Anolis sagrei: one gene and its partners. Each later gene encodes a partner of the first gene's protein in a complex. Links are inferred from orthologs where the notes say so. Each region holds a gene or a part of one and is shown in the gene's direction. Other genes may lie near its edges. The genes, in order: CDHR5, USH1C, ankyrin repeat and SAM domain-containing protein 4B and CDHR2.

Region 1 (7,934 bases):
GTTCTGTACCTCTCCATGTTTGAAAAGAGGCTGAAGTGTCCTACGAGGGGGAAATTTCTCAATGTGATAAGGAGTAGACTACAAGCTAAACATGAGTCAACAGTATGATGTGGCAGCTAAAAAAACCCTATATAATTCTAAACTGCATCAATAGGAACATAGTGCCTATGTCAAATGAAATAATAGAACTACTCTATTCTGCTTTGGTCAGATCTCACCTGGAATATTGTGTTTAGTTCTGGGCACTATAGTTCAAGAAGGATATTAACAAGCTGAAATGTGACTCGGGCAACTAAAATGCTCAAAAATTTGGAAACCAAGCCCTATGAGGAGCAGCTTAAGGAGCTGGGTATGTTTCGCTTTGGAGAAAAGAAATCTGGGAGGAGACATGATAGTGCCATGTTTAAATATGTGAAAGGATGTCACATTGAGGAGAGGACAAACTAGTTTTCTGTTGCTCTGGAGACTAGGACACAGAGCAATGTGCTCAAATTGCAGGGAAAGAGATTCCAGCTAAACATTAGGAAGAACTCTCTGATGATAAGAAGAACTGTTCAGCAATGGAATATGTCATCCCAGGTCTGGTGGAGTCCCCTTTTATGAGGTTTTTAAGCAGAGGCTAGCTGGCCATCTGTTTGGAGTGCTTTGATTGTGGGTTCCTGTATGGCAGGGGGCTGGATTGCATGACCCTTGTGGCCTCTTCAAATTGTATGATTTTATTATACCATCTGACATTTACATAGGGATTAGATCAATCCTACAGAGATGTCCCAGATGAGGGTCATTTGAGACTTTCAAGGTGGTCTGGACTTGGATTTTGTGGAAAATATTAGACCTATATAGAGACATGGACGCACTGCAAGCAACCACCCACTAGAGGGCTTCAATAGTCTAATTTTAGGCACAGCCACTTGCATTTTCATTAGTTCATCACTGCAGTATCAATCAAGTAGTGACTTGGGTCCAAACTTCACAGTGTATCTCACTTCACAGAGTGCTGGAAAGCAGGAAATGCAAATAAAGCCTTCCTTTATCTTTCAAAACTTGTTTTCACCCAGCTGCTTTCTCTCACTCACAGAAAAATGTGATGAATAATTTTTCCCTGCAGGTGAGAAAGTAGTTTGGGGTCTGGGATTTTGAGCCATCTTGTATACAAATAGTTAATAATTTTGACTAAACAACAACAACAACGGATTAAGCATTCAAACCACTACACTGAACTGGATGAATGCAAATACTCCATAACAGTATCAGTCTATCATAACTTGGTTTGCACCCTTCCAAATCTTGGGCACCTTCCAGATGCATTGGACTCAAGTGCCTATTATCCAGTTGAGCAGGCCAGTAACCATGAGGCCAGTAACCATGCTGGCTGAGAGTGACGGGGACTGCAGTCAAACCACATCTGGGGGATGTCAGGTTGGGAAGGTTACAGTTGACTGCCAATGTGGGTTACATTAAGAAACATTCAACATGTGCTCCAAAACTTTAAGATGTTGGCACAGTATGAAAGTAACAGGCGTAGGCTATAACAGGGGTTGCCACAAGTTAAAGTGCAACTACAAAATACTGAGAGCATTTATCTCAGGAAAAACATTTGCTATGAGGAATGTGGAATCTCCAAGGGAAGGGGATTTTCTGCCACAGTGAGAGATCAAAGCAGCAATCCAAATGACCTTTATATACTATTCTGAGAGCCTTTCTGGAGAAGCTTTTTCTTTCCCCCACAAACACCTCATTCCATAATTTCAAAGCATTTTGTAGTTATTTAATTTTGCAATTTAGACACAGATTTAGATTTCCATCCAAGAAAATTTATTTTTTAAAATAAAACGAAACTACAGAAAAGCAGAATCACATCCACATCATAACTAAAGAAATTAAGAAACCCAGTGATTTTTTTCATGGCTACACACTGTCTAATGCAGGGGTCCTCAAACTCTAAGATCATTTACCCGGCCCTTGCTCAGAGTCAGCCTAAGTCTGAAACGACTCGAAAGCACATAACAACAACAACAACAGCAATTCCTATCTCATCAGCCAAAAGTGGGTCCACACTTCCCATTGAAATACTAATAATTTTATATTTGTTAAAATTGTTCTTCATTTTAATTACTGTATTGTTTTAAGTGTTTTTTGCACTACAAATAAGATATGTGCAGTGTGCGTAGGAATTCATTCATTTTTTTAAAAAATTATAATCCGGCCCTCCAACAGTTTGAGGGACTGTGACCTGGCCCTCTGTTTAAAAAGTTTGAGGACCCCTGGTCTAATGACTGATGGTATATATAATATTTTATAATTGAGTCGCCTGAGGGCTGAGAAGGGGGGGTATACAAATATAGTAAATAAATACATACATATAAAAGACATTCATTATAACTTCTGCATCAGAATTTTGAAAAACCAATCCTGAACTTTTGAAGTGGAAAAAAATGCCAAAACCTTTATCTCCAAGAGTTTTGTCTTTTTGCTGGAAATTATTTGCACTAACTTTACAGGTGAATGTGGTGAAACCACTCAGTTCATGCCCAGATTTTTATTCATTGTTATTAATAATTCTTAAATCCCAGGGCTCAGCTGGGGACTTAAAACCTTCCCAAATTTCTTTTTTTTAAAAAAATTGAAATATATCATCCAATTTTTACATATCCTCTTTTTCATATACACAAGAATGTTTATTGTTTCCATATTATCCAGTTCATTGTGTAAAATATAATGTAATAGACTAAAATTTTAAACATTACTTCCAGGAAATGTTTTGAAGGGTTCCCAGACTTTCTTGAACATTGAAGGATCCTTTATTTGAAGCTATTTTGTCAAAATGTTGATTTCCACTATTTCAGCTACTTTTACTATCCATTCTTTCATTTTTGGAGTTTCTTCTAGGTTTCCACTTCCAAAGACATACAATTCTTGCTGCAGTTGTCATCAGAATGAAAAGTTTGTCATACGTCTTCAAAGTAATCAATCTATTATGCCTGTTATCCCTAGGGTATAGGGTTACAGCCTGTGCTGGATGGGGTCGCACTCCCCTTGAAGGCGCAGGTTCGCAGCTTGGGTGTGATCCTGGATTCATCGCTGAGCCTGGAGCCCCAGGTCTCGGTGGTGACCAGGGGAGCATTCGCACAGCTTAGGCTTGTGCGCCAGCTGCGCCCGTATCTTGGGAAGTCTGACTTGGCCACGGTAGTCCACGCTCTGGTTACATCCCGCTTAGACTACTGCAACGCTCTCTACGTGGGGTTGCCTTTGAAGACGGCCCGGAAGCTCCAACTGGTCCAACGTGCGGCAGCCATGACACTAACAGGAGCGGGATGTAGGGAGCATACAACCCCCCTGCTGTACCAGCTCCACTGGCTGCCGATCTGCTACCGAGCTCAATTCAAGGTGCTGGCATTGGCCTATAAAGCCCTAAATGGTTCCGGCCCAAAATACCTAACTGACCGCCTCTCGGCCTATGAGCCCTCGAAGACTTTGAGATCTTCCGGGGAGGCCCTGCTCTCGATTCCACCTGCCTCACAGGCACGGCTGGTGGGGACGAGAGATAGGGCCTTCTCGGTGGCGGCTCCTCGGCTGTGGAACACCCTTCCCGTGGACATCAGGCTAGCCCCCTCCCTGCTAATATTCCGCAGGAAGCTAAAGACCTGGCTATTTAAGAAGGCATTTGATCAATAGTGCAATGACTGGCAATTGACCATAGGAATGGAACACCGGAAATGAGATCGGATTGTGGCTTGACGATGAGACGATTCGGAATGTAGTAATAATTTTGTTAAGATGTTTTTATGATTATGATGAATTGTACACTGTTTTGCACTATGCTCTGTAGATTGCACTTGTTTTTGTCATGTTGTACACCGCAATGAGTCGCCCTTGGGGGCTGAGAATTGCGGTATATAAGCGCAGTAAATAAATAAATAAATAATAGTAAGTAGGGTTGTGCTTTCAGGGTAAATCTTGACTCGTTTCGTGTCCTGGCTTTCAGTGGCGGCCCCGATCAGTTTTTGGGAGCTTCCCGAAATCAGGAGGGCAGATATTTGTTTTCGCTCGGGGTGCTGAAAGATCTGTTTTCTATCAGCCCATTATTGGGGGGGGGGCTTCCCAGGCTCCCCCTCCTGTCATTTTAGACATTACTCTAGAGGAAAGGTGCTCAGCTGCATGCAGGTGCATACCTTAAGGAAACTTCTTACCTGTTTCTACACTAGAAGAGAGGCACTCAGTTCCAAGCAGGCACGGGCGCTTTCTGGCCATAATTTTGGCCCCCAAACTTGCCTTTGACTTACATGTGAGGTATGTGTATATATGGTAAGTCTCCCTGAATGCAGTGGACTAAGTAGACATTTGAAGTGGTGATAGTTTCAAGATATTTTTCTGCCCAAGTCAGAACTGCAAATGGTATCTCTCACTTACCAAAGCCAAAATGCATCCTGCCCAACCAAGGCAAACCACACACCGCATAACCATATCTTTTTGTTTCAGCAAAACACAATGAACCTCTATCACCCTTCCATGATACCCAAAATACGTAGCCCAAGGCAGCTACTCACTCTGGGCAGGGACTGCCTCTGCAATGTAAGAACAACCCAGTCTCCAAGGTAAGACAAAGTACTTTCCACTGAGCCAGTCACTGATGAGTGATGGTAAATAAGTCATAAATAAGTGAGTCAATAAACCAAGATGCAAAGGTTAAACTCCTCTGTTAGCAAAGTACTATTTGCAGCATTACGGTACTTCCTGATGGAAGAGTGAAAGGACGATTCATGATGATAATAAATGAAGACCGCTTTTCTTAGATTTTGGATTCCTCCCCTCCCTCCACCAGTGTGATGGCTCTTTTCATTCAGCTCTGCACCTGTATGGTCTTTGTCTTGGTATCTGTACTTCATGTCCAAGGACAGAGCGCATGTAAGTATGCCTGGGAGACAGGAGCAAATACTGACTCAGGGTTAATTGTTAAAAACAACACAAGAGGGATAGTTGTTTGGATACACCCATAGAGGAACAAAAGGCATAGATATTTTCAATATATGGATTGCCTAAATAGCCTAAAAGCACCAAATCCTGTCTGATCTTGGAAGTTAAACAGGACCTGGTTAGTCTTTGGATGGGAGACTATCAAAACTACCAGGTGAATTAGGTTAGCGTATATTTTGAAGGAAGGAATTGGCAAACCACCTCTAAGTATTTTTCGCCTAAGAAAACCCTATGAAGTTCATGGTGTTGTAATAAATTGACCAGAAAACTGAATGGACACCTAAATATACTTTAAATACGTAGCACTAGCTTATAGATGCTTATTTCAAATTAAACTCCCACAGAGTTTCGTGGAGTTTTCTCTTCTATAAGCATGAACAGAAGCGCAGCAAGAACACTAAAATACATTGTATATTTCAAGAAGAGATCTTGCCTGGGGAAGAATCAGTATTATGTTTCCAATATGCTAGCAAAGTTTTTTTTGTCAGAACAATGAACTTTTGACAATATGTAAAGAGATTCAAGCCAACAGAAATAATAATATTAACACAGGTACTAGTACTAATTTAAAAAATGCTCTACTTTATAATATTATCTAATTCAGGCAATTAATTCTAAATTAACAATATGAATGGGAATAATTTTACATAGTGTCTGGAATAGGGAATTCAATATCTAAATTTAATATGGGATTAGATGTACCTCAAATTACAAAGGTGTATACTTGATAAAGGCACAGGAAAAGATTTTGAATGATGAAAGGCCAAACATTGGCATGTCCCCAGTCTAGATATCAGATAAAATATTATTATTTGGATGTATCTCTTGCATATCTGCTTATTGCCATGTTATATGAAATGTCCTATAAAGCATTTGTACGTTGTTGTTGTTGCTACTGCTGTTGTGTGCTTCCAAATTGTTTCTAACTTATGGTGATCCTTTAATGAGGTTTTCTGGGGCTGAAGGTGGGTTTCAGAAGCTGCACAGGGAACTGAACCTGGTCTCCAGAGCCTCCAGCGCTCAAACTGCAATAACAGAAGGTACCTTGTGGGCCATCCAGTCCAACCCCTTGCCAAGAAACAGGAAAATTGCATTCAAACCACCCCCAACAGATGGCCCTGAGAATGCCACACTGGTTCTCACTTGTTGCCAATAAAATATTAAATTAAAGTATAAAACTCTAGTTTTAAATTAAAGTATAAAATTCTAAGTCAGTCGATACTGGCAGATATGAATGATTCTGTTGAGTTAGACTGCACTTCCAGAGACATGAAATCTTTCCTTTTGTTTCACTAGACTGTTCTGTGGAGAATGCCAGTCCTAGTATTGAGGAGAACAATGCTCCTGGAGTCGTGGTCACCAACATTACGACAGCTGCTGGTGTCACTGTAACAATTGCCCCGGCATCAGACACAAACCCTGAGTGGTTTGACATAAAAGACTCACAACTTATCCTGAAATATTCAGTGGATTATGAGGTAAATGACAGAGTGGGGATTAATGGCACAGTAAGATGTGGTTAGCTGTTTATCGAGAAAAGCCATTGCTTATGTTCCTATGAATATAAAGACAGTATGAAGTGGATCGATACAGTCCAGCCAAAGTCTAAATACACCTAAAAGCTTAGTGTTATCAGAGTGAAAAATGGAAACAGTTTCTGCTCCTATAAGGATTGTGGAGAAGAGGGAATTTGAGCAGGTATTGCTTGTCATGCAACTTGGTAACTTACTTACTTAGGCAATCCCTCGTTGTCTGGGATCGATGGACTGGCGGTGGGTCCATAGGTGACTGTGGAGCCCTATTCTTTATCTGCGTGTTCTCCCGCAGCGAGGGCATTGGTTTCCAGGTGGAAAGCGGTCCTGGTTGTGGTTGGCTTGATGTGCCTTCCTCTTGGCACGTTTCTCTCTTTCACCCTCCATTGGTGCCTCTTTAAATTCTACAGCACTGCTGCTCACAGCTGACCTCCAGCTGGAGCACTAAACGGCCAGGGCTTCCCAGTTCTCAGTGTCTATGCCAGAGTGTTTAAGGTTGGCCTTGAGCCCATCTTTAAATCTCTTTTCCTGTCCACAAACATTCCGTTTTCCGTTCTTGAGTTCAGAGTAGAGCAACTGCTTTGAGAGATGGTGGCCGGGCATCCAGACAACGTGGCCGGTCCAGTGGAGTTGATGACAGAGGACCATCGCTTCAATGCTGGTGGCCTTTGCTTCTTCCAGCACGCTGACATTTGTCCACTTGTCTTCCCAAGAGATTTGCAGAATTTTTTTTGGAGGCAACGCTGATGGAATCATTCTAGGAGTTGCATGTGATGTCTGTAGATAGTCAAAGTCTTGCAGGCATATAGCAGGGTTGGGAGGATAATAGCTTTATAAACAAGCACCTTGGTATCCCTACAGATGTCCCAGTCTTCAAACACTCTGTGCTTCATTCGGAAAAATGCTGCACTCGCAGAGCTCAGGCGGTGTTGCATTTCACTGTCAATGTTGACTTTTGTGGAGAGGTGGCTGCCAAGGTAGCGGAAATGGTCAACATTTTCTAATGTTACACTATTAAGCTGAATTTCTGGCATTGAAGAGGGATTATCTGGTGACTGCGGGAAGAGTACTTTGGTTTTCTCGATGCTCAATGACAGGCTGAGGTTCTTGTATGCTTCTGTGAAGGTGTTTAGAATGGCTTGTAGGTCTTCTTCTGAATGTGCACAGATGACATTGTCATCAGCATATTCTATAACAGATGTTGTTGTTGTTGTAACCTTGCTTTGTAACCTGGTAACTGACTGAAATTTCCTCTTCGACTCAGCAAATGGTGACATCTCATTTTTTAAAATCTAGTAACCCTAGTTCTTGCGTATTGATAATATTAGTAGAATGAACTTTGAAAATTGGTTGGACTTGTCAATATTTGCACTTAAGTGTAGATTTACTTCTGTAAATTGGGTAGTAAACTCCTCCTTCTTTTCCTCC
Region 2 (7,933 bases), about 7.4 Mb from region 1:
CTTATTTCTAGCTTCCTTCCCCTATACAGTGTTCCTTTTTGGCCTTCTTAATTCTCTATCCTTTCCTGCTTTCCTTCATTCTGTGTGAACCTTCTCTCTTTTTGTTCCTCTGCCTATTTATCTCCTTTCCTTCTTTTCTGCCCCTCACTCTCACTCCCTGACCCCCTGTCTCTTTCACTTCATCTTTCAGCTATCTTGTAACAGAAGCTTTAAAAGCTGCCAATGGCAGGTGAGAAATAGTGTCAGATTAAAAGAGTCTTTTTTCAAACTGCTTTAGGAAGTCTGTTAACAGTAAGTAATTAAAAAGATCTCATTCCCCTCTTTGTAATTAGTGCCCATGTATTGTATTTCTAGCCATAACAAGTAATTCACTTCAGTAAGATGGTGAAACAGCAATGACGTCCTCATCAAGAATGCTCTTCTGCTGTAAATACTAATGGGAAAATCAAAATTAGAAGAGAGAGTAAATTCTCATGCCCTCCCCCCCCCCCCCCCCGACATTGATGTAGCCCCCTAAAAGGTCAAACATATTATATTGCATTTGCATTGTAAGAGAAACTTGGAAGTTACAGATTGGCATTCCTTTTCCCGGTAAAGCTTGATTATCTAAATCTCATTTGGCTGAAATCTATGAAAGTTTATGCCATGAATCACATTTATTAGTCTTTTTGGTACTACAGAACTCAGCATAATAGATTAACCTTGCTAGCTCCCTGGAAATATTTCCTCTGTGAATCACCTAAGCTTTGATTCAGTCTGAATGCAGACTAAAGGCAGCAGCCAAAATATCAGGAGTAGCTCATTAGGAGATAGCATGAAAGAACTACATTTTTTTAAATAACATGTCCCATCAGGTAGAAATTATTTTCCTGATTTCCAGGTATTACCTGCAAAGGAAAAAGAGCAGCAGCCAAAAGAACAGGAGTGGCTAACTAATAGTGGATAATCTGAGGAAGATACCTCAAACATCAGCAGAAATATTTCCAGAGGGGTGTTCCATGATGTTTTAAACTTGTTTTTCCAGTGAGAGAGTGTGTCGGTGATGATAAAATTGTGTTCTGCACATTTAGTGAGAAGTAAAGTGTCATTTGGGTTACTGCTCCAACCCTGGCTTTCCATATAGTTCCTGGCCACAGGCCGAAATCTCGCCCAACTCTTGTGTATAAATCACCCAGGAGGATGATTTTCTTCTCCTTAGGTATGTCTCATAGGATGATATCCCGCCGACAGCGGAATTGTTCTTTGATGTCTTTGCTGGCATCTGGTTTTGGTGGATAGACATATATGATAGTTGCCTGCTGGTTTTTGGCAAGACTGATTTGGAGATATTGCAATGGAGACTCAAACTGTACTCAGAATCATAGTGCCACTGGTCATGGCTGTAATATATCGATTGTGACCTTTGTTAGCCTTATTCTCCATGAATATCTCTAATCCTCTTTTAAAGTGCTCTATATTGTTGGATTTCCCTATGTCTTCTGGTCTATATCTTTATATGAGTGATGCAACCTCAATTGATGGGCGTGAAGCTAGTAATGTAGTGCACTGGTGGGTGGGTTGGTGGTTTCTCAAAGGATGTTGAATAACAATCTGACAGGCCAGTTCTAGAAAGATTGCTGCCAGTTGAAGTATAAACTGTATTAGTTGTTAATATTCGTATGGAAAATGGGTTATTTTCTTCTCCTTAGGTATGTCTCATAGGATGATATCCCGCTGACAGCAGAATTGTTCTTTGATGTCTTTGCTGGCATCTGGTTTTGGTGCATAGACATATATGATAGTTGCCTGCTGGTTTTTGGCAAGACTGATTTGGAGATACTGCAATGGAGACTCAAACTGTACTCAGAATCATATGTGCTATGTAATAGATAATTCTTGCTTAATATTCATGAGGATAATATTCTATTGTACGATTTGTTTTATCGTTCTTTAGTTGTATAGAGGAATATATTTGATTATAATATTCGTGAGGAAAATAAGTTTATGAATTCTTATTTATATGTTTTATGTATTTTAGGGTATTTTACTTGTTTAATATTTGTGGGGGAAATAGTTGAATGAATGATATACATATGTATATTATGAATATAATCGGGGTTTTTAAAAAAGCTTTTATCTGTCCTGAATTTCTCCCACTTCAACTTCACTGTTATCTCTGGTCCTAATCTTTTGTGGTGGTTGTTTTATAATTTCTATGTGATATTGCTTTATAGTTTTATTTCTCGTGTCAGGGCAGCCAGTCAATTATATTACATTTCTAACAGAACAAAGCAAACAAATAGAGAAAATACAAAATGTGTGAGTTTGGTAGTTGATTAAATGTCCTTTGACCAGTATCTGGCCACTTGGAGTGCTTCTGGTGTTGTTGCAAGGAGGTCCTCCATTGTGCATGTGGCAGGGCTCAGGTTGCATTGCAGCAGGTGGTCTGTGGTTTGCTCCTCTCCGCACTCGCATGTCGAGGATTCCACTTTGTAGCCCCATTTCTGAAGGTTGGCTCTGCATCTCCTGGTGCCAGAGCGCAGTCTGTTCAGCGCCTTCCAAGTCGCCCAGTCCTCTGTGTACCCAGGGGGGAATCTCTCATTTGGTATCAGCCGTTGGTTGAGGTTCTAGGTTTGAGCCTGCCACTTTTGGACTCTCGCTTGCTGAGGCGTTCCAGCGAGTGTCTTATAGTCATATACCATTTATGTTATATGCTGCACCTTGGAGTACCTTTGTAAGCCACTCCGAGTCCCCTTGGGGAAACTGTGGCAGGTTATAAAGAAAGATTATTATTATTATTAATAATAATAATATCTTAAACTGAGTTCAGAAGCAAATAGACAGCCAGTGCAATGAAGGTGATATATTTTATAGTCTTCACATGACAATGAATTGTGAACTTCCATCATCATCATCATCATCATCATCATCATCATCATCATCATTCAAAAATACTTCTAACTTGGGACTAGGCAATTTAAAGGAAGGGTAAAACAAACTAAAACCATAAAAACAATTAAATAAGGTACCATATCAAAACATCACTAACTTTAAAAAGTATAGAATCATTTTAAATGATATAAAAATTAAGAAAACAATGCAGAAAGATACAGCAAATGGAGTTATCACAATTAGATCCTGAAGTGGGTTTTTGTTGTTGTTGTTTTCACCAGATCTGTATCTTTCACCTGGACAAATTAATTTTTAAAAATACAATTATGCAATTAAAAATAATGATAATAATAAAGAATACACATATACCCCCCAAAGGCTTTTTTTTTTACAATCTATGAAATGGTTACTGCAATCATTGGTTTCCCCTTTCTTGAAAATTGTAAATCATTTTGATTATTTCCAGTATGTGGGCTCTGTTGATATGCTACCTGTTCCTGATGATTTATTTCTCCCAAGTACTCTTACTGCAGCTTCCACTTAATTTTCTAATCATTTTTTCTTGAATGAACCTGCTATCCTTTCATCTCTTTTATATAGTTCTTCAGTGTATTGTTTCCATTTTCTTTTTAGGTATACTTGGTCATGTAAAGTGTCATATAGCATCCCCACTCTTGGTTTAAACATAGTCATCCATGAATGGATTTTTAAAAAAATACTTCAATGGGAAAAAGGCACAAGTAAAATTATGCAAAATAAACGTATATTTTTAATAATTACAGTATATTTTTAATAATTACAGTGGACCCCCAGTGGCACAGTGGGTTAAACCCCTGTGCCGGCAGGACTGAAGACCAACAGGTCACAGGTTTGAATCCGGGGAGAGCGTAGATGAGCTCCCTCTGTCAGCTCCATCTCCTCATATGGGGACATGAGAGAAGCCTCCCATAAGGATGGTAACACATCAAAACATCCGGGCGTCCCCTGGGCAACGTCCTTGCAGATGGCCAATTCTCTCACACCAGAAGCAACTTGCAGTTTCTCAAGTCACTCCTGACACGACCAAAAATAATAATAATTACAGGGCACACAATCCAGTAGATACTTAATGTAAATGCAGATTGTTATATTTGAGTTTTTAATCATGTGGAAGTTTTATCAAGGATGATAAAACATCCAGGAGTCCCCTGGGCAACGTCCTTGCAGACAGCCAATTCTCTCACACCAGACTTGCAGCCTCTTCAGTCGCTCCTGACACACACACACACACGCACACAAAGCTTGCCTGATGATGAGAAGTGGTCCCTTAAACATGAGACAATCCAACATTTATTTCAAATTAAACATTATTAAAAATTTAATATAACAATCCGGCATATACATTAAGTATCCACTGGATTATGTGCACTGTAATTACTAAAAATATACATTTATTTCGCAAAGTTTAATTGTACCTTTTTTCCACTGATGTATTTAAAAAAATCATTCATTGATAGCCATATATTCAATGATAGCCTTATAGTTTTGGGACTGCTCTCCTGGTAACCAATATTTTAGACCCAGTGCACCACTGCTCCCATCAGGCCGGTAGCCAGGATTTTGATTCGGGGGGGGGGGGGGGGGGGCTGAGTCTGAGTGAAAGAGGGTCTAGCCTAGCAAACCTTTTGTTTCGTTACCCCAATACCTCCATGCATATGGGATATATTGAGCATGGTGATCAGATCATGATATGAATAAACATAACAGTTTAAATAATGCACCAGTAAGGCCTTCTCACGGACCACCATGAGAATTTCGGGGGGGGGGGGCTGAAGCCTGGCTCCCATGTGTGTATTTGTCTGTGTACCAGCATCTACAACAGGCATGGGCAAATTTAGGCCCTCCTGGTGTTTTGGACTTCAATTCCCACAATTCCTCACAGCCTTGAGCCCTTTCTTGGACCACCGGGGACTCCTATCACAGGGAAGGTGACACCTGGCCAGCCCGCCCTGCAAGGAACCCAACCTCTTGCCTTGCCTCCCCTTTCCTTGCCTTCCTCCCTGCGCTGCGCCCTCTGGCGGTGACTCCGAGCTCTGCGCGCCCGACCTGAGCCGAGAAAGGAAGGAAGGAAGGAAGGGAAGGAAGGCAGGCGCGCAGGCTGGCCAAGGCGAAGAGCTCAGAGGCAGTCGCTCTCGCTCTCCCCCATTCATTGCCATGGAGCGCAAGGTGGCCAGGGAGTTCAGGCACAAGGTAAGAAAGAAGAGGGCCGCCCTCGCCTTTCCCCGCTTGCTTGCTTCTTGCCTGCCAAGGGACCCCCGCGGCTTTGGCTCCTCAGCTTGGAGTCACTTTCTCTAGCTCTGGGTCGGCTGCGCGGGGGACATTTTGCGGGACTCTGGACTCTGGGTATCAATTAACTCGGCCTTTGCGGGGGGGAGGGGGAGGGGGGAGGGGGGAGGGGGCAGGGAAGGAAGCGCTTCTCCCCGGCAGGTCAGGCGGCGAGGCGCACCTCCGAGGGAGGCATTGGCCTCACTCTTGCCACCCACCCATCCACCCATCTTTTCTTTTCTTTTTTCCCCCGGGCAGGTGGGAATTCGGGTCCACTTTCTCTTAAAGGGCACCTGGATTCCACCTGAGCGCCAAGCAGAGAAAAGGAAGAAGCAAACTTCAAAGTTTTGGAACTTTTGGGAAAGTTTGCTCCCTCAAAAATAATGTTCCCTGTGAGCAATTGTATACAAAAAAGAAAATTTAATAACAATAACAACAATAATAATGAGGATTTAAAGATTGAACTGCAAAGACTCTGGCACAAACCGATAAAGGTGGTCCCAGTGGTGATCGGCACACTAGGTGCAGTGCCTAAAGACCTCGGCCTGCACTTAAACACAATTGACACTGGCAAAATTACCATCTGCTACCCTACTGGGATCTGCACACATTATTCGCCGATACATCACACAGTCCTAGACACTTGGGAAGTGTCTGACATGTGATCCAATACAGCAGCCCACAGAATGATTTTGTTTGCTGTGGACTCATCTTGTGTTTCAAATAATAATAATAATTCATTTATAGCCCGCTTTCTCTCCCCCAGGGGACTCAAAAACCAAAATAAACACTATCCCTCCTTTCCTCTTTCTCTCTCTCTCTCTGTCAGGGACCAAGGGACGTTGCAAAGAAGCTTCTATTATATAATAGTTCTTTTGTTTTTGTTTTTAAAAGAAGTGAATCTAAGAGTTGCAAGTCAACAGGGTGAGATGAGGAAGTTTGGACTCAAGGGTATGATACAGGCATATTCTTGCAACATGGTTTGAACCTATTTCTTTTTATCAGTGCCGCAAAGTCAAATGGAAACTGTCTTTCAGAGGTTCAGTCAGTGGTGCATTAATAATGGGTTTCATTTACAAAAAGCTCCCTTTTCGGTTTCACATCAGAGATAAAAGTTGTTGAGTGTGGAAGGCTGTTCCAGCTTGTTTGAATATGCAAAACCGATCAACATTTGTCTGCACACCTCCTACAGGTTTTCCAGGCTTGTATACCTTATAAAAAATGATCTAATACCTGTTGTTGTTGTTGTTGTTGTTGTTGTTGTGTAACAGGTCCTTCCTGGATTATGGTGCCCCCAAGACTAACCTATGGGAGGGGGGGGTTCCTTTGAAATATTTGTTCAGAGAGGGCTTGTTTTTGCCTGCCTCTGAGGCTGAGAGAGAGTGACTTCCTCAAAGTCACCCAATGTGGTCACCCAGATGTTTTAACATCCTGTGGGAGGCTTCTCTCATGTTCCCGCATGAGAAGCTGGAGCTCACAGACAGGAGCTCAACCCACTCCCTGGATTCGAACCGCTGACCTTTAGGTCAGCAGTCCTGCCAGCTGGAGGTGTAACCCATTACGCCTCCGGGGGCTCGATTTGCTCCTGACATTAAAAAAACCCAGTGTGGTTTCCATAGGTGACTCAGAATTTGAACTCTGATCTCCAGGGTTGTAGTCCAATGCTCAAACCATTCCACCATGCTGAGTCTTCAGATATTTGTGCCTCATTCTTCATATAATGTATGAAGACCATCCATATAACCCCATTGTTGCTGTTATACAATGTTTATTTGATCATTTACAAAAATTAATCAACAGAATTTTATCCTGAAGGTGTGTTTAGATTACTTTGGTTTTGGTAAACTGGATTTTGGTGTCTCCTCTTCTTTGGAATCTTGATCTTTATTTCCCCCATTTAATTGCGTTCAGTGGAGTTCCATTCTGGTTTTTAGATTGGACCTCTCTAACACAACAGATAAAAGTTACACTAATCTTTAAGTCTTCTATAACTTAGACTGAAACTTATCAAATATTAAAGACAAATTTCTGAAAATTCCTTGAAAGGGAAAAGCTGTTGTAAAAATAGATATTAAGACTATTAAGCTAGTTTTCACCAATTTTAAAACTAATATTGCTATGAATGCAATTTTTCTGCTTCTTGGCAGCAGGTTGGACTGGATGGCCAACGAGGTCTCTTCCAATGCTATGATTCTAATAAAAACTGGGCATAGTTGTATGATTATAACATTTATACCTGTTAACTATCAACATTGGGATGGGCAACAGCAGACAGACAGCTGGCATATGTATCTAACGTAATATTTATGGTCTTGTACCTTGTACCTGTGGCCTTTTATGCTGATAAGATTCACATAGACTTCTATTCTCCCCACAGTCCCAATAAATGGAAAAAGCTGGCTCTTCAAAGGGAAAAAAAACTATTCAAAATCTTGCTTTATTGGCTTCTTGATGCTAGGAAGCTACTAGGACTAAATTAATATTAAACAGCACTGAAGATAAGCCATTTTGTATCTCACTTTAAGAGAAAGTTGGGGTACAATTTTTATAAACAAATAAATAAAAGCTGTAGCATCAGTAAAGTAACACATTAAATAGTGATTGAATCTGCATGATTAGTCCTCTGTTTTCATTAAAATCTCAAAGTGAAAAAACTCAAGACAACTCAAACTGAGTTGTATCACCTGCAAATACATTTCTAAGTAATTAGACAGCCTGGTATCTCAGACAAAACAGAATTAAAACTAGGTCATTTGTT
Region 3 (7,790 bases), on another chromosome or scaffold:
CATATTATCCAGTTCAAAACAGATAATCTGGAATCAGAAACTAGATTATATGGCAGTGTAGATGGGACCTCAAAGGCACACATACAGTAGAGCTCACTGTTCCCGTAAAGCAAAAGTTAAGACAGCAGGACAAAAGTCTACATATGGGCTAGGCAGGCCCGTAGCCAGGATTTTGTTTCGGGGGGGGGGGGCTGAGTTTGGTTTGGGGGGGCTGAGTTTGGTTCGGGGGGGCTGAGTCTGAGTGAAAGAGGGTCTACCCTAGCAAACCTTTTGTATCATCCCAATACCCGCATGCATATGGGATATATTGAGCATGGTGATCAGATCATGATATGAATAAACATAACAGTTTAAATAATGTACCAGTAAGGCCTTCCCGCGGACCACCATGAGAATTTCGGGGGGGGGGGGGCTGAAGCTCCCCAAGCCCCCCCCCCCCTGGCTACATGCCTGGGGCTAGGCAATAAACAGGCACATTTGGGTGCAGAGAACTCTCTTCTTCGAAGGCTTTCATGACTGGAATCACTGGGTTGTTGTAGGTTTTTTCGGGCTATATGGCCATGGTCTAGAGGCATTCTCTCCTGATGTTTCGTCTGCATCTATGGCAAGCATCCTCAGAGGTAGTGAGGTCTGTTGGAAGTAGGAAAAGGGATTTATATATCTGTGGAATGACCAGGGTGAGACAAAGGACTCCTGTCTGCTGGAGCTAGGTGTGAATGTTTCAACTGACCACCTAGATACGGGCTAGAATACCTCTAGACCATGGCCATATAGCCCGAAAAAACCTACAACAACTCAGTTTGGACAGCGATATTTTCAGAAAACGTAATTGTCTAGGCAACCGCAATCCGGACCTGCCAGCCAGTGAGTCATCATTTGGATGATCCAAAGCACTCATTAGCCAAACATCCTCAAATCTCTCCATTAAAAAAAAGGTTTGGCTACAAATCTAGAGGGGCAAATCAGTGAAACACAGTGTGATTTGCGTCTGCAGAAACCAATTTATGTATTGAGTTGTCAGGCCTGGAGCCAACAAAATTCAGAAAGATCAAGTGCCATTTCAAACCTTTGTCCATTTATCCTAATGAATCGCCTTTTTCGCCTTCCCTTTTGAGAATGGAGTGATTCGCACCTTGGAACATCTTTTCAGGGAAGACAAGAGAGAAAGGAAGGATGCATTCTAGGCAAGCCGCCCTGCTTCTGGTTCAACGCTTTCGAAAGAAGGGACAAAAAGGCTCCCATTCAAGCAGCATTCCTCTCCCTCTGCTTGATCAGAAGGGCTAATAAAATACTGAAAGGGGATCTGGGGTGAGCTTTTCTCAACCAATTGACAGAAACAACCATTAAACTAATTAAGCTTTTCCCTTCCTCCTTGTATTTGCTTTTTTGAATTTGTTCCTTCTGTTAGTGACTCTGTCAATTGAGTGGTGACACAGGATACAGACCAAAAAAAATCCTTTTTTTATTTTCATGGCTCAAAATGATATCCTTAGTTTAGTGTGATTTGAGCCTCAGGCTTTAATTTCGGGAGATCTTGTGCCTTCCCAAACATTATGTAAAATGTCTCAGACAGTCATTTAAGTCAGGGCATTTGAGGTTTTCGTGTCTAATTAAACAATCCAATTAGTCTCTGAATAATTTTATATTTAGCTGTGAAACAAGTAAACAGGTTGAATGACTTGGTTTGAAGAGCAGAGCCAGGATGCTTGCTTCTTAATTACAGCTCCCAGAAACCCCCAGCTAGCAAGACCAATGTTCAGCAGTGGAACTCTCTGCCCCGGAATGTGGTGGAGGCTCCTTCTTTGGAAGCTTTTGAACAGAGGCTGTGTGGCCATCTGTCGGGGGTGCTTTGAATGCAGTTTTCCTGCTTCTTGGCCAAATGGGGTTGGATTGGATGGCCAATGAGGTCTCTTCCAACTCTATGATTCTATGATTCATGCAGACTGGGAAAATGGGTTTTCCAGATTTGCCAAAAAGGGAACGAGAGGCGTTGAACTGATGATGCATACTTTGTCAAATATGACATAGACCAGTGGTTCACAACCTGTGGGTCCCCAGATGGGATTTCTGCGAGTTGTAAGCCAAAATACCTGGAGACCCAAAGGTTGAGAATCAGTGCCATAGATCATCATGATGATTTATTCATCATGTCAGAAGCGAATTGAGAATACAGTTATAATGAATAAAAAACCAGAAGCTGGCCATGTCAAGTGGCTGTGCTGTGCTGTAAGAAGGTCCTTATTGTGCATGTGGCAGGACACAGGTTGCATTGTAGTATGTGATCTGTGGTTTGCTCTTCTCCACACTCGCATGTCATGGACTCCACTTTGTAACCCCATTTCTGAAGGTTGGCTCTACATCTCATGGCCCGCGAGCACAGTCTGTTCAGCACCTTCCATGTTGCCCAGTCTTCTGTGTGCTCAGGAGGGAGTCTCGCATTTAGTATCAGCCACAGATTGCGGTTCTGGGTTTTTAGCCTGCCACTTTTGGACTCTTGCTTGCTGAGGTGTGCTTGCGAGCATCTCTGGAGATCTTAGAAAATAATTTCTTGATTTAAGGTGTTGGCTTGCTGGCTGATATCCAAACAAAGGATGGGCCAGAGATGTCAATGCCTTGGTCTTTTCATTACAGACTGCTACTTCCTGACAGATATCAGGTGGTGCAATACTGGCTAAACAGTATAATTTTTCCAGTGGTGTAGGGCTTAGACATCCTGTGATAATGTGGCATGTCTCATTAAGAGCCACATCCACTTCTTTTAACATGGTGATATGTATTACACACTTGGTATGCGTATTCTGCAGCAGAGTAGCAAAGCGCAAGGGCAGATGTCTTCAATGTTTATGGTTGTGATCCCCAGGTTGTGCCAGTCAGCTTCCGTATGACATTATTTCTAGCACCCACTTTTTGTTTGATAGTGAAGCAGTGCTTTTTGTAAGTATGTGACTTGCAGTATAATGATGATGATGGTGGTGGTGGTGGTGGTGGTGGTGGTGGTGAAGAACTTATTACTCGCCTCTCCTTGAAGTTTGAAGCGTAATACTACATGATTCATACAGAGGGATTAAACACAAAACTATTAAAATGTCTGTCTATTTTCCTGTCTGTCTGTCTGTCTGTCTGTCTATCTATCTATCTATGTATGTATGTATATGTGCGTTTGTATGTATCTTTCAAGATGGTCCCCACTTCCAGAGACCATTACAACTCCCACCAACTACGAATCTGGACCGAACTTGGCAAACCCACCCATCCCGCAATGACCAAAATAAAATACTGGAGGCTGGGGAGGTTGGGGGCTGGGGAGGAGATGTACCCTGGACGATGGGGATTGCAGTTCACCCTGAAGGAACTTCCAGAGAGCACCGTGAACCCCATCTATGATAGATCTGGACCAAACATATCCATCATGACCAACTTTAAATATTGACAGGGTTTAGTGGGTGGCAATAGCAAAGAATGATGGGAGTTATAGTTCACACACAATCAAAGAGCATTCAGATCATAACCCATGATGGACTTGGATTAAATGTGACACACATACCCATCATGACCAGCTTTAAGTACTATCAGGGTTTGGGGAGCAATGACAGAGGATTTGGGGAGTTATAGTTCACCCATATGTGAAGAGCACTGTGAACCCCACTGATGATGAACGTGGACTAAGCTTGGCATATGTACCCATCCTGACCAATTTAAAATGCTGGTGCGGTTTGGGGGGTATTGACCTAGCATGATGGGAAATGTAGTTAACCCATATCTTTTGCATTTTCCTATGGGTGAGATAGTAGAGATGACTATAAACAAACTATATTATTTATGCATACTGAATACATGAACAAATAAAAGCGAGTTGAAGGTTTTTAAGCAGAGTCTGAATGGCTCTGTTGGGGGTGCTTTGATTGTGCTTTTCCTCCCTGGCAGATAAGGGCTGGACTGGATGGCCCTTGGGATCTCTTCCAACTCTATGAGTTGATTTATTTATTTGTTGTGTCAGGGCAACCAGTCAATTGTATTACATTTCTAACAGAACAAAACAAACAAACAGACAGACAAAATACAAAATTTGCGAGTTTGGTAGTTGATTAAATGTCCTTTGACCAGTATCTGGCCACTTGGAGTGCCTCTGGTGTTGCCGCAAGAAGGTCCTCCATTGTGCATGTGGCAGGGCTCAGGGTTCATTGCAGTAGGTGGTCAGTGGTTTGCTCTTCTCCACACTCGCATGTCGTGGATTCCACTTTGTGGCCCCATTTCTGAAGGTTGGCTCTGCATCTCGTGGTGCCAGAGCGCAGTCTGTTCAGCGCCTTGCAAGTCGCCCAGTTTTCTGTGTGCCCAGGGGGAGTCTCTCATTTGGTATCAGCCATTGGTTGAGGTTCTGGGTTTGAGCCTGCCACTTTTGGACTCTTGCTTGCTGAGGTGTTCCAGCGAGTGTCTCTGTAGATCTTAGAAAACAATTTCTAGATTTAAGTCATTGACGTGCTGGCTGATATGAGTCGATGACATAGTAGCATACATTAAAGCTGAGACAATATATTGCTTTCCTGCAGAGCGTAAGCCATAGCTGGGAGTGACCTTTGCTTCTTCGTTTGTGTTTTGTTGGAGCTGATGACTTCGTCAGGGATTATTAATTAACCATCCCTCTGATGAGAAGCAGTGTAGTGTGTGTCGCATTGCACAGTGTGAAAGGAATCAGCCTGGAAAGGGGAACACAATGTCCACCCGGTACCACCATGCAGCTGCCGATGGCAACCTGGAATTGCTGAAGGAAGCCACCAGAAAAGATCTGAACACTTCCGATATGGATGGGATGACTCCAACTCTGCTGGTGGCCTATCATGGCAATCTGGACGCTCTGGAAATCATTTGCCGAAGAGGGTAAGTACCGTCAGCCTATGGACAGATCACAACATATTGTGACTGCAAATGTAGGGTGTCCTTAGCTTATAATTTAGGGAGAATAAATTTGATATACCCTCAAAAATGTATAGCCCCTTAAAACAATTAAAGATTTCATTAGTAGAGAAGTGTCACAAAATTGCAGTAGGTACTTGAAATGATTAGTGTGTGTATTGTCCAAGGCTTTCATGGCTGGAATCACTGGATTGTTGTAGGTTTTTGGGCTATATGGCTATGTTCTAGAAGCATTCTCTCCTGACGTTTCGCCTGCATATATGGCAAGCATCCTCAGATTAGTGCATGATTGTACACCAGACATGGGCAAACTTTGGCCCTCCAGGTGTTTTGGGTTTCAACTCCCACAATTCTGGACAGTCTCGGGCCCTTTCCTTTTCTTTTTCCCTTTCCTTTTCTGCTTAAGTGGCTGAGGGGGGAAAGGAAGGGGGCTGAGGCTGTTAGGAATTATGGGAGATGAAGTCCATAACACCTGGAAGGACCAAGTTTGCCCATGCCTGGTGTACAATCATGCACTAATCTGAGGATGCTTGCCTTAGATGCAGGCGAAACGTCAGGAGAGAATGCTTCTAGAACATGGCCATATAGCCTGAAAAACCTACATTTCTGATGCCAATCAATCTGTGTCAAAGTTGATCCAGGAAAGAGAGCCAAGGGCAGTCCACACCCAAAACATGGCTGGAAGAAGGAAATAGACAACATATTGCTTTGTACTTAATAGGAGTTCTGTGTAGCTTTGATGATGATGTTGATGATGATATATTGAATTTCTTACCCATTTCTCAAGGTTTGAGGTGATTGATAACAATAATAACCATAATAATAATAATAATAATAATAATCAAAGTATGGATTGTCAATGTTGCAGTCCCAGGTGACAGCAGGATTGAAGATAAACAACTGGAAAAGCTGACATGATACAAGGATTTAAAGATGGAACTGCAAAGACTCTGGCAAAGCCAGTCAAGGTGGTCCCAGTGGTGATTGGCACACTGGGTACAGTGCCTAAAGACCTTGGCCTGCACTTAAACACAATTGGCGCTGACAAAATTACCATCTGCCAGCTGCAGAAGGCCACCTTACTGGGATCTGCGCGCATTATTCGCCAATACATCACACAGTCCTAGACACTTGGGAAGTGTTAGACGTGTGATCCAATACAACAGCTAGCAGGGTGTCTGCTGTGGACTCATCTTGTTGTGTTTCTAATAATAATAATAATAATAATAATAATAATAATAATAATACACTTTATTTATATCCTGCCTTTTTCTACATACTGAACAGCAACATACAACACAAAGATAAAGGGCTTCCCATTTTTCTATCTCTGGTGTCTGGAGGCAATGCTCAACTCCAGCCATGGGAAGGTGCTATTGTACCATTTTTCCATGCCAAGGAGCCTGTTGTCCATGGACATCTCCGATTGTGTTACTGGCATATCTGCAATGTGAATGAGGCACCATTTTACCTTCCCGCCGAGGCGGTACCAATTGATTACTCGCATTACATGCTTTTGAACTGCTAGGTTGGCAGGAGCTAGGGCTGACAGTTGAGAGCTCACCCTGACTCACAGCTTTGAACTACCAACTTTCCAGTCGACAGCTTTCCTGCAGCTAACGGTTCAACCTGCTGTGCTACTGTGGCCTCATAAAAACAGAAAACCATTAAAAACACATATATTAAAAGATGTAGACATAAGAGTAAGACGGATTAAAACTCATTCAATAACATGCCAGTTTAAAACGAAAGCGTCTAGATTAGAACTTGGGACTCAGAAAACCATTCCTTTTAGATCAGCCATTTACAGACGTATGATACTAATTGACATAAAACATACACAAGCTAATTTGTATGTATAGAGAACTTTAAAAATAATTAGAATAATTCAGATAGAGTGTGCCCAAGTCTCAGGTCCTCCTCTTTACTTCTCAGATGGGAAGAATCTCAGGGCAAGAGCACAGCCTTGAAAAAATGTGTATGTCTGCATGTGTATTTTCTCACTCTCTATTTTTTTCCTGTGGTATTTTATCCATTTCCGATATAATATCTCTTAAAATAAGACTCCACTATAGGACACGTGAAGGGCCGTGGTGGTGCAACGGGTTGAACCACTAAGCTGCCAAACTTGCCAAAAGTTCAAATCTGTGGGACAGGGTGAGCTCCTGTTGCTAGCCCCAGCTTCTGCCAACCTAGCAGTTCGAAAACATGCAAATATGAGTAGATCAATAGGTTCTGCTTTGTCGTGAAGGTAACAGCACTCCCATGCAATTATGTTGGAGGTGTCTATGGACAAAGCTGGCTCTTTGGCTGAGAAATGGAGATGAGCACCACCTCCCTGAGTCAGACTCAACTAGACTTAATGTCAAAGGAAACCTTTACTCTAGTACATGTGGCTATACAATACTAATAATCTAATAATATCCACTGGGGTTTAGTTCCAGAACTCCCCATGGAAACCAAAATCCATAAATACCAAAGTCCTATTATATACAATCGCATAATAAAATAGTGTCCTTGAGATAAAATGGCAAAATCAAACTTTGCTTCTTGAATTTTTAAAAATATATATTTTCAAACCCAGAGTGGCAATATCCCTGGATGCTAATCCATACGTACAAAGGGCTGACTGAATGTAAATAAATAAAATTAAATGTCCTGCTTTCACAATAAAATTTCTAGTTTTAATCACTTTTCATTTGTTATTTTCTATCACTGGCCTTTGGGCAATACTAAAAGTAATATGGTGAAAACCATTTGGACTTCAGGTAAACATAAAATAAATATATTGCTTTGTTTCTAGCTTTTAGGTGTGGCATGCGGTTTTATATGCCATCATTTACAGCCAATAAATGTGACCTTTAAACAGCGCAGTTGCT
Region 4 (7,148 bases), on another chromosome or scaffold:
CTGTGGGTTTCAGCCTGACCGTTAAAGGAGCTATCCATTGTGCTGAAATCTTTCCCCAGAAACAGTTTCAATTATGTTAGATGGCTTCTACAGTTTAGACTCAAACCCAAAATAATGTCAACACCCCACTGACATGCACTGCGCTGTGCTCTTTGAAGTACAAGGACAGCTCTTGTCCAAGCAGTAGTCATACATGTACCTTCCTTAGGATGTAACAAAAATGTTGTTGCACATTTCTGTTTAGGTAGTTGGAATTCCACTAGGTGATTTTGGGTAAGTCATACTCTTCCTGCCTGAGAGGACTAGATAAATATTGCCAAGACAAACCCTAGGAGAAGGTCACCACAGATCAGGGTTGGCATGAAGGCATATAAGAAGAAGTAAAGATTCTAGCTAACCCAAGCAGGAAATAGAAAAACAAGCATTCTTTATCTGTCATTTTGGAGAATATGGTTACCTTATATCAAAGTAGTCAACAAGAACTCATTCATATTCTATTTGCTTCTTCTTTCTTTTATAGTTTTATTTTCCTCTCTCTCATTTTTTCTGTTTCTCCTCTTCACAATCATTTTTAAAAATCAAATTAAAAATTAAACTCAAATAGAAACCATATCATGTGTTATTTCCAAATAAATAGTCTTAGGGTGTAACCTAAATGGAAAAAAAATCTTAATATAATTGCATGCATTGGGTTTTCCCTCCTATTTCACTCTGAGGCCAAAGGTTCTGACTTTTACATAACATTGACATTTCCCAACGGCTTTCTTCCTTGTCAGCCTGCATACCAGTTGGAATAATCAATGATGACCCATTTGCTCTAAAGTTAATATGTGCATTGTTGCTGTTGGCATTTCAATGTCACAGAACACTCTCTAGGGGAAAACATTGGCTTGGTTACAGTCATCATAGAGCTTGGAAAAGTTTCTTTTTGGGGCTATAGATCCCGGAATGCCACATATTCACAATCAGTGTGACCAGCTGTAGTTGGGAGGGGGGGGGGGGGGATGTTACCTTTTTAAAGCTCTGATCCATCCTGTTTATGTAGAATTGTTTTCTTGTTGTTTTGCTGACACTTTCTACAGCAGCAGGAGTGACGGCAAATTTATGCAAATCTTTAATTCATTTAAGGGTACATCTCCACTATAGAATTAATGCAATTTGACCTCACTTTAACTGCCATGGTTCAGCGCTATGGAATTATGGGAGTTGTAGTTTTAGAAGTTCTTTAGCTTGCCCTGCCAGAGCGTGTAGGTGGCTCACCAAACTATGGATTCCAGGATTCCAAGATATTGAACCATGGTAGTGAAAGAAGTGTTCGACTGTATTAATTCTACAATGTAGATCCAGCCTTAATCACAGGAATGATAAGTGTGAAGATGTTGCAGCATGAGAATTCAGTAGTAAGCTCTTTGAGAACCTGGTAGTCAACCAACCATAGATGTGAGGAGCACCCCTCTGAACCTACATACATACAAAACAATTGCAGAATACTGGAGAGAAATAACAGCATTAACATACATAAAAGCATATGTTATATCTTGGTTATGCACACATGCAGGTGACTCAAATGTGTCACAAACTTATTATACTCAGGTGGCTCCAAAGTAGCACCTGCTGCACAGAAGAGAGAGACAAAAAAGGGAAAGAGGAACATTTCTCCAATTCTTTGGGTACGTATATTTTAATAAATAAATGAAACTTGAGGAAATTGCTACTGGTAACTGTGGGATCTTCATGTATGGATAAAGCTGGCCCTATCATTAGGCAGAGTGAAAGGGCAACCCGAGGCAGCAAATTTTGGATGTCATAAAAGGTCAGCAAATTGTTAGCAAATTAAATTGCCATTAGTCTGTTTTACTGCCAATGTGATGAGAGTTTGTGTGATCTTCTGTCTCATATGTCATAATAACATGGTTTGCTTGGGGTAATATACGCCTTGCATGGCTGTAGGAACCATGATGTTTTGAACCGTCAAACCATTTTTAATTGAATTCTTATAATTGTTTTAATTGTGTTAATTGTAACTGTGATTTTTAATATATTGTTTTTGGCATCTAATGGCTGCCTGTTGTAAACTGTCCTGAGTCCCTCTTTGGAGGTGAGAAGTACGGGATATAAATGCTTGAAATAAATAAATAAATAAATAAATAAATAAATATATTTGCTCCAGGTAGCAAAATGTTGGCCATGGTACACAGTGGTTATAAGAATAGAAGTGAATAGTTATTCACAGGGGCCAATAAAGTGGTATACTGCATTTTAAATGTGGAAGACATAGTACACAGAACCTTAAGTATCTCACTTACGCCTAACAGAGCTTGGTAAATTTACTTTTTGGACTCTAATGTTCAGAATCCTCTAGTCACCATGATTCCTGTTAGTTGATGCAATGAGTTGTTAGGTAAAGCAATCTCATTTACAATCATATTTCCTAGTAACGTAACCAAAGGTGAGAACATTATAGCCCTCTGGACATATTTGAACTGCAACTTTGAGATGCATTCGCCAGCATAGCTACTTGTGACCCATGCTAGCAGTTGCAAACCTGCCCAGCCATATGGTTTCTACCTCTGTTGTAAACCAGCCTTGTTTAATGTTTCAAGGGACTATGGTGCCTTCATAACTGATATGTCTTGCCATCTTTCTTTTCTAGCAAGGAAGGGATGGAATCACAGCCAACCCTGTAGTTTTAGGGAAAAGCAAACTGTTGCAGCTTTTCCTAGGTTGTATGCTCTTCTGTTATGTGATGTCAGCATCTGCAAGAACCACAGCTTCAGAGTCCAGAGTGTCTAGCTTCCCAGAAGGCTGAATGAGACATAGATGGGATGAAGGCAAGATCAAAGATTTATTCTCAATGGCCAGAGAGGTTGTCAGCAGAGAAAACACTGACATCCCATAATTGCGAACACAGAGCACATGTATTTCATTTGACAACTATTTAAGATACCTGTACAAACTCCTATTTGGCTCAAAAACTGTCCAACTAGGATACACTTCATAATTAGTCTGGGATTCCCTTAGACGTCATTGCTGGTTCATCTTCATTGTGTTGGGAAACTCAAATTGTCACTGGATTATTTTGAAGAGTCTGTCCATTTATTGATTTACCTCTGAGATAGGAGTGATTGGAAAAAAAGCCATTTTGCAGTCAATAATGCCTTAGCTCTGATAGGTACAATAGAATTAGTCTAAGGTAAACAATGGGTGCTTTAGGTTGATGAACATCTCAGTGGGTGTCACAAGGGTGAGTCTGGCTGGGGGCATGGGAGAGGAACCATTCCCAGTAATAGCCCAGATTGTATCAGGAAACAGGAAAAGGATCCAGTAGCTGTGATGCAAACCCATTGTGAGTCCCACCCCCAAAACCTTCCAGTTTACTGTAAAAGGATTATGGTAATTTGGGGCATTGTTTACTGGAGTCTGTGGTGTGGTGAAGCAACTTTCCAAAGAAATGTATGAAGGGCTATTGCAGGGCGAAATGGAAAAGATAAAGTGGGCATGCTGTATATCTCCATGGTACTGAGCCTCATAATTAATATTTTTTTTGGGAGGGGGGGGGATCTGATTATTTTGATAACACTTGCTTGTTAATAACTTTTGCTTTCTTGACTACACCCTTATGTTGCTTTGTCTTGCATGTCCTATTTTTCATATGTGAATTTTGGAAAATATATAATAACATTTAGGATAATCTGGAATGAACTCTAAACATCAACAAAGGCAGCAAGAAGAATATTTGCCATGCGATCACTGCAAAATGTCTCTCTTGAATCCTAGCATACTTCCTCCATTGGTAGGGATGCTCCTGCCTTGTTATTGCTGGTCACAGTGAGAGGAGTGACAATACATTTTCTGGCCCAAACAACACATCATTGAGCTGGCACAACCTCTCTCCCTTTCTCTGGCCTAACTCATCTTCTGCCTCAGTGGAGACAGCACAATCCTCATTTGTTACTGTAAGTAGGTCATTGGGGAGGCTGCAGCCACTTTCCTTCCCCCAAACACACACATACATACACACATACTGAGATCCTGTCTGATGAATCCTTTTACTTGTCAATTACTTCAGTGCAAAGTCAAAGGCACAAACCGGCAGCGCAAGCAAAAGGCCTCATCCGCCCTTCCAGGCTACAGGCAGCCCTCCCTGGCCTCACCAGATTTTCCCCCAAAACAAGGCCTGGGCATGAAAGGGACCATGAGGCAGGAGAATCAAACGCAGGAACCTGGGGTAAGATAGCTTTTCCTCCTGCCGGTCTCATGGTAAAGCTGTCATCTTGGCAACCAGAAATTCAAGAGATGCAATGTTTATGTGGAAGTACAACCAAGTAGAAAGGGCTCTCTTATGAATATCTGCATGCCAAGCAGTGGTGGAAAGGCACATAGAAGCAAACCAGTTGACAAACCAAGATAGTGTCAACATATGGAATAACTCCTACCTTTGTTCAGAAATGTTACAGGATGTGAATGAGGGTTTAAAGTAGGGTGGGGGAAGGTGCTGCTTTCCAGATATTTGGACCATAGCTTTGGAAAGGTTAGACAGAAAATACATTTCAATAATATCTGAAGGGCTACCTGATTTCCACCCCTGTTTTAAATGGCTACCTTGGGCTTTTACTCACATTCCTTGGCTGGGAGATCTGGGATACAAAGTGGCAGGTTGAGGAGAGAGCAATAAGAGGGATACAAAGGCAGCTCAGGGGGGAAAGCATACCCTCCAATATTTCACAGATAAAAACCAGAACACATCTTGCCAAGCAACATCAGAGTGTGGTCAAGATGCAAAATGTATCAGTTAGTAAAGCACACAAGATAGGAAGATGCTGCAGCACTTTTCCTTTGCCTGAACCTGCTGGGAAGGGTGAAATTACACCTTTCTGCCCGAGTCAGTTAATTACTATCTTTGTACTTTGAACTCAGTTTACCTCAACTGAAGAAAGCTGAGGACAAAGGAAAGAAGTGGGAGAAGGAGAGCGGGACTGGCATGCTTTAAGAACAGCTGAAAGGATGACAGAGGATTAATCAGGGGTCTGTTTTCCAAATTGAAATAGTTGCAGGATACAGAAAAGGAATCTCTGCAGAAAGTCCTGCCTAAATTGGTGTTTCCATTGAAGGGGCACTTTATGATCCTCTATAGTTGATTGCATGTGGTTGAAATGGTATGTAGGGTGAAATAATTCACATTGGGTGCATCTACACTTTCAAATGCAGTTTGACACTACTTTTAACTGCCATGGCTCATGGGAATCATGCAAAAGGCAAGGTTTTTGGCCTTTTCTGCCAAATAGTTCTGATGCCTCACCAATTGCAGCGCACCCAAATACCTGGGAGTCACTCTGGACCATGCTCTGACCTATAAGAAGCACTGCCTGAACGTCAAGCAAAAAGTGGGTGCTAGAAACAATATCATACGAAAGCTGACTGGCACAACCTGGGGATCACAACCAAACACAGTGAAGACATCCACCCTTGTGCTATGCTACTCTGCTGCTGAGTATGCATGCCCAGTGTGGAACACATCTCACCACACTAAAATATTGGATGTGGCTCTTAATGAGACATGCCGCATTATCACGGAGTGTCTGAACCCTACACCACTGGAGAAATTACACTGCTTAGCCAGTATTGCACCACTTGACATCCACCGGGAAGTAGCAGCCAATAGTGAAAGGACCAAGGCAGAGACATCTCCAGCTCATCCCTTGTTTGGGAATCAGCCAGCATGTCAACGACTTAAATCAAGAAATAGTTTTCTAAGATCTACAGAGACACTCGCTGAAACACCCCAGCAAGTGAGAGCCCAAAAGTGGCAGGCTCAAACCCAGAGCCTCAATCAATGGCTGATACCCAATAAGAGACTCCCTCCTGGGCACACAGAAGACTGGGCGACTTGGAAGGCGCTGAACAGATTGCACTCTGGCACCACGAGATGCAGAGCCAACCTTAAGAAATGGGGCTACAAAAGTGGAATCCTCGACATGTGAATGTGGAAAGGAGCAAACCACTGACCACCTGCTGCAATGCAACCTGAGCCCTGCTACATGCACAGTGGAGGACCTTCTTGCGGCAACACCAGAAGCACTCCAAATGGCCAGATACTGGTCAAAGGACATTTAATCAACACCAAGCTTGTCTTTTGTATGTTTGTTTGTTTGTTCTGTCAAAAATTTAATACAACTGTTTGGTTGCCTGACACGATAAATAAATACCAAACTATAGTTCCCATGCTTCCATAGCATTGAGCCATCACAGTTAAAGTGTTGTAAAACTGCATTATTTTGACAGTGTAGATGTACCTCTCTTCTCCATAGTCCACAACCCATGTAGATCCTCTTAAGTTTAGTAACCTGGCACAGCAATCTGTCATGTTTATTGCACTACCAATCCCGTAATTCCCAGCCAGTGCAGCTGGCTAAGGATAGCACCTCTAACCATGATCCTAATTGCTTTCAGTAGATCTGTCCATATTTCTCTTAAATTGAGACAGAATGTTACCAAAGCAACCAATATAACTATTGATTCATGTTTGTCACATAGGCTGGGTTGGCTACAGGTCCACAATCTGACAACTGGACTGCTGTTTAAGATGAGAGATAGAGCTGAGAAGGACCTGAGATGTGAAAAGCCATTGGGAATGGAGGCTGAATGGTGCCAGCGGTTTGGAGATTCCCTTCCAGGACACCTGCAAAGACCTGTTTTGGAACTGACACCTGCCCAAGCAACCTCAGGCAGGAAAAAGAAAAAGAGGAAGAGTCCTGTTCAAGGAGGTTGGGCCAAAGTCCTCACCCTCTAATTTCAGTTAATAATTGATCAGCTTATTCAAGACAGGAGCCAAAGTCTGAAGGAAGTATTCAGACCTCCAGTGTCTATCACAGACTCAAGTGGCATTTCCATGATCCCGTACGAGATGAGGTAAGGGGTAAACTCAGCTGTCTCTATCCATGTTGTGCTGTGATGACCAAGGGAGGGAAGGAGGGAGAGAGGGAGGGAGGGAATGAACCATGGGATTTATTTATTTATGTATTTATTTTGTATCAAAAGCATTCCACAAATTAGTATAAAACTAATAAAAATAGAAGGAACGCAGGCAGCTAAATATCTTTTGACCAAAAACGGGCAACAGCAATGACATTGTCTGTAGCCTCCAACAA

The links.
Region 2: CDHR5 (region 1) and USH1C share a complex: the UniProt entries of both Homo sapiens proteins name them as parts of the IMAC/intermicrovillar adhesion complex. The link is inferred for Anolis sagrei from reciprocal best matches to the Homo sapiens genes CDHR5 and USH1C.
Region 3: CDHR5 (region 1) and ankyrin repeat and SAM domain-containing protein 4B share a complex: the UniProt entries of both Homo sapiens proteins name them as parts of the IMAC/intermicrovillar adhesion complex. The link is inferred for Anolis sagrei from reciprocal best matches to the Homo sapiens genes CDHR5 and ANKS4B.
Region 4: CDHR5 (region 1) and CDHR2 share a complex: the UniProt entries of both Homo sapiens proteins name them as parts of the IMAC/intermicrovillar adhesion complex. The link is inferred for Anolis sagrei from reciprocal best matches to the Homo sapiens genes CDHR5 and CDHR2.

Annotation. Positions count from the first base shown.
Region 1 is NC_090021.1:240,588,284-240,596,217, reverse strand, and holds the start of CDHR5 (cadherin-related family member 5), read left to right. Parts: upstream 1-4,826; coding exon 4,827-4,905; intron 4,906-6,270; coding exon 6,271-6,452; intron 6,453-7,934. UniProt on the Homo sapiens protein: Intermicrovillar adhesion molecule that forms, via its extracellular domain, calcium-dependent heterophilic complexes with CDHR2 on adjacent microvilli. Thereby, controls the packing of microvilli at the apical membrane of epithelial cells.
Region 2 is NC_090021.1:247,950,066-247,957,998, forward strand, and holds the start of USH1C (harmonin), read left to right. Parts: upstream 1-4,926; 5' UTR 4,927-5,064; coding exon 5,065-5,100; intron 5,101-7,933. UniProt on the Homo sapiens protein: Anchoring/scaffolding protein that is a part of the functional network formed by USH1C, USH1G, CDH23 and MYO7A that mediates mechanotransduction in cochlear hair cells. Required for normal development and maintenance of cochlear hair cell bundles.
Region 3 is NC_090034.1:16,409,617-16,417,406, reverse strand, and holds the start of ankyrin repeat and SAM domain-containing protein 4B, read left to right. Parts: upstream 1-4,670; 5' UTR 4,671-4,711; coding exon 4,712-4,875; intron 4,876-7,790. UniProt on the Homo sapiens protein: As part of the intermicrovillar adhesion complex/IMAC plays a role in epithelial brush border differentiation, controlling microvilli organization and length. Plays a role in assembly of the complex.
Region 4 is NC_090022.1:78,164,506-78,171,653, reverse strand, and holds the start of CDHR2 (cadherin-related family member 2), read left to right. Parts: upstream 1-4,010; 5' UTR 4,011-4,228; intron 4,229-6,534; 5' UTR 6,535-6,889; coding exon 6,890-6,909; intron 6,910-7,148. UniProt on the Homo sapiens protein: Intermicrovillar adhesion molecule that forms, via its extracellular domain, calcium-dependent heterophilic complexes with CDHR5 on adjacent microvilli. Thereby, controls the packing of microvilli at the apical membrane of epithelial cells.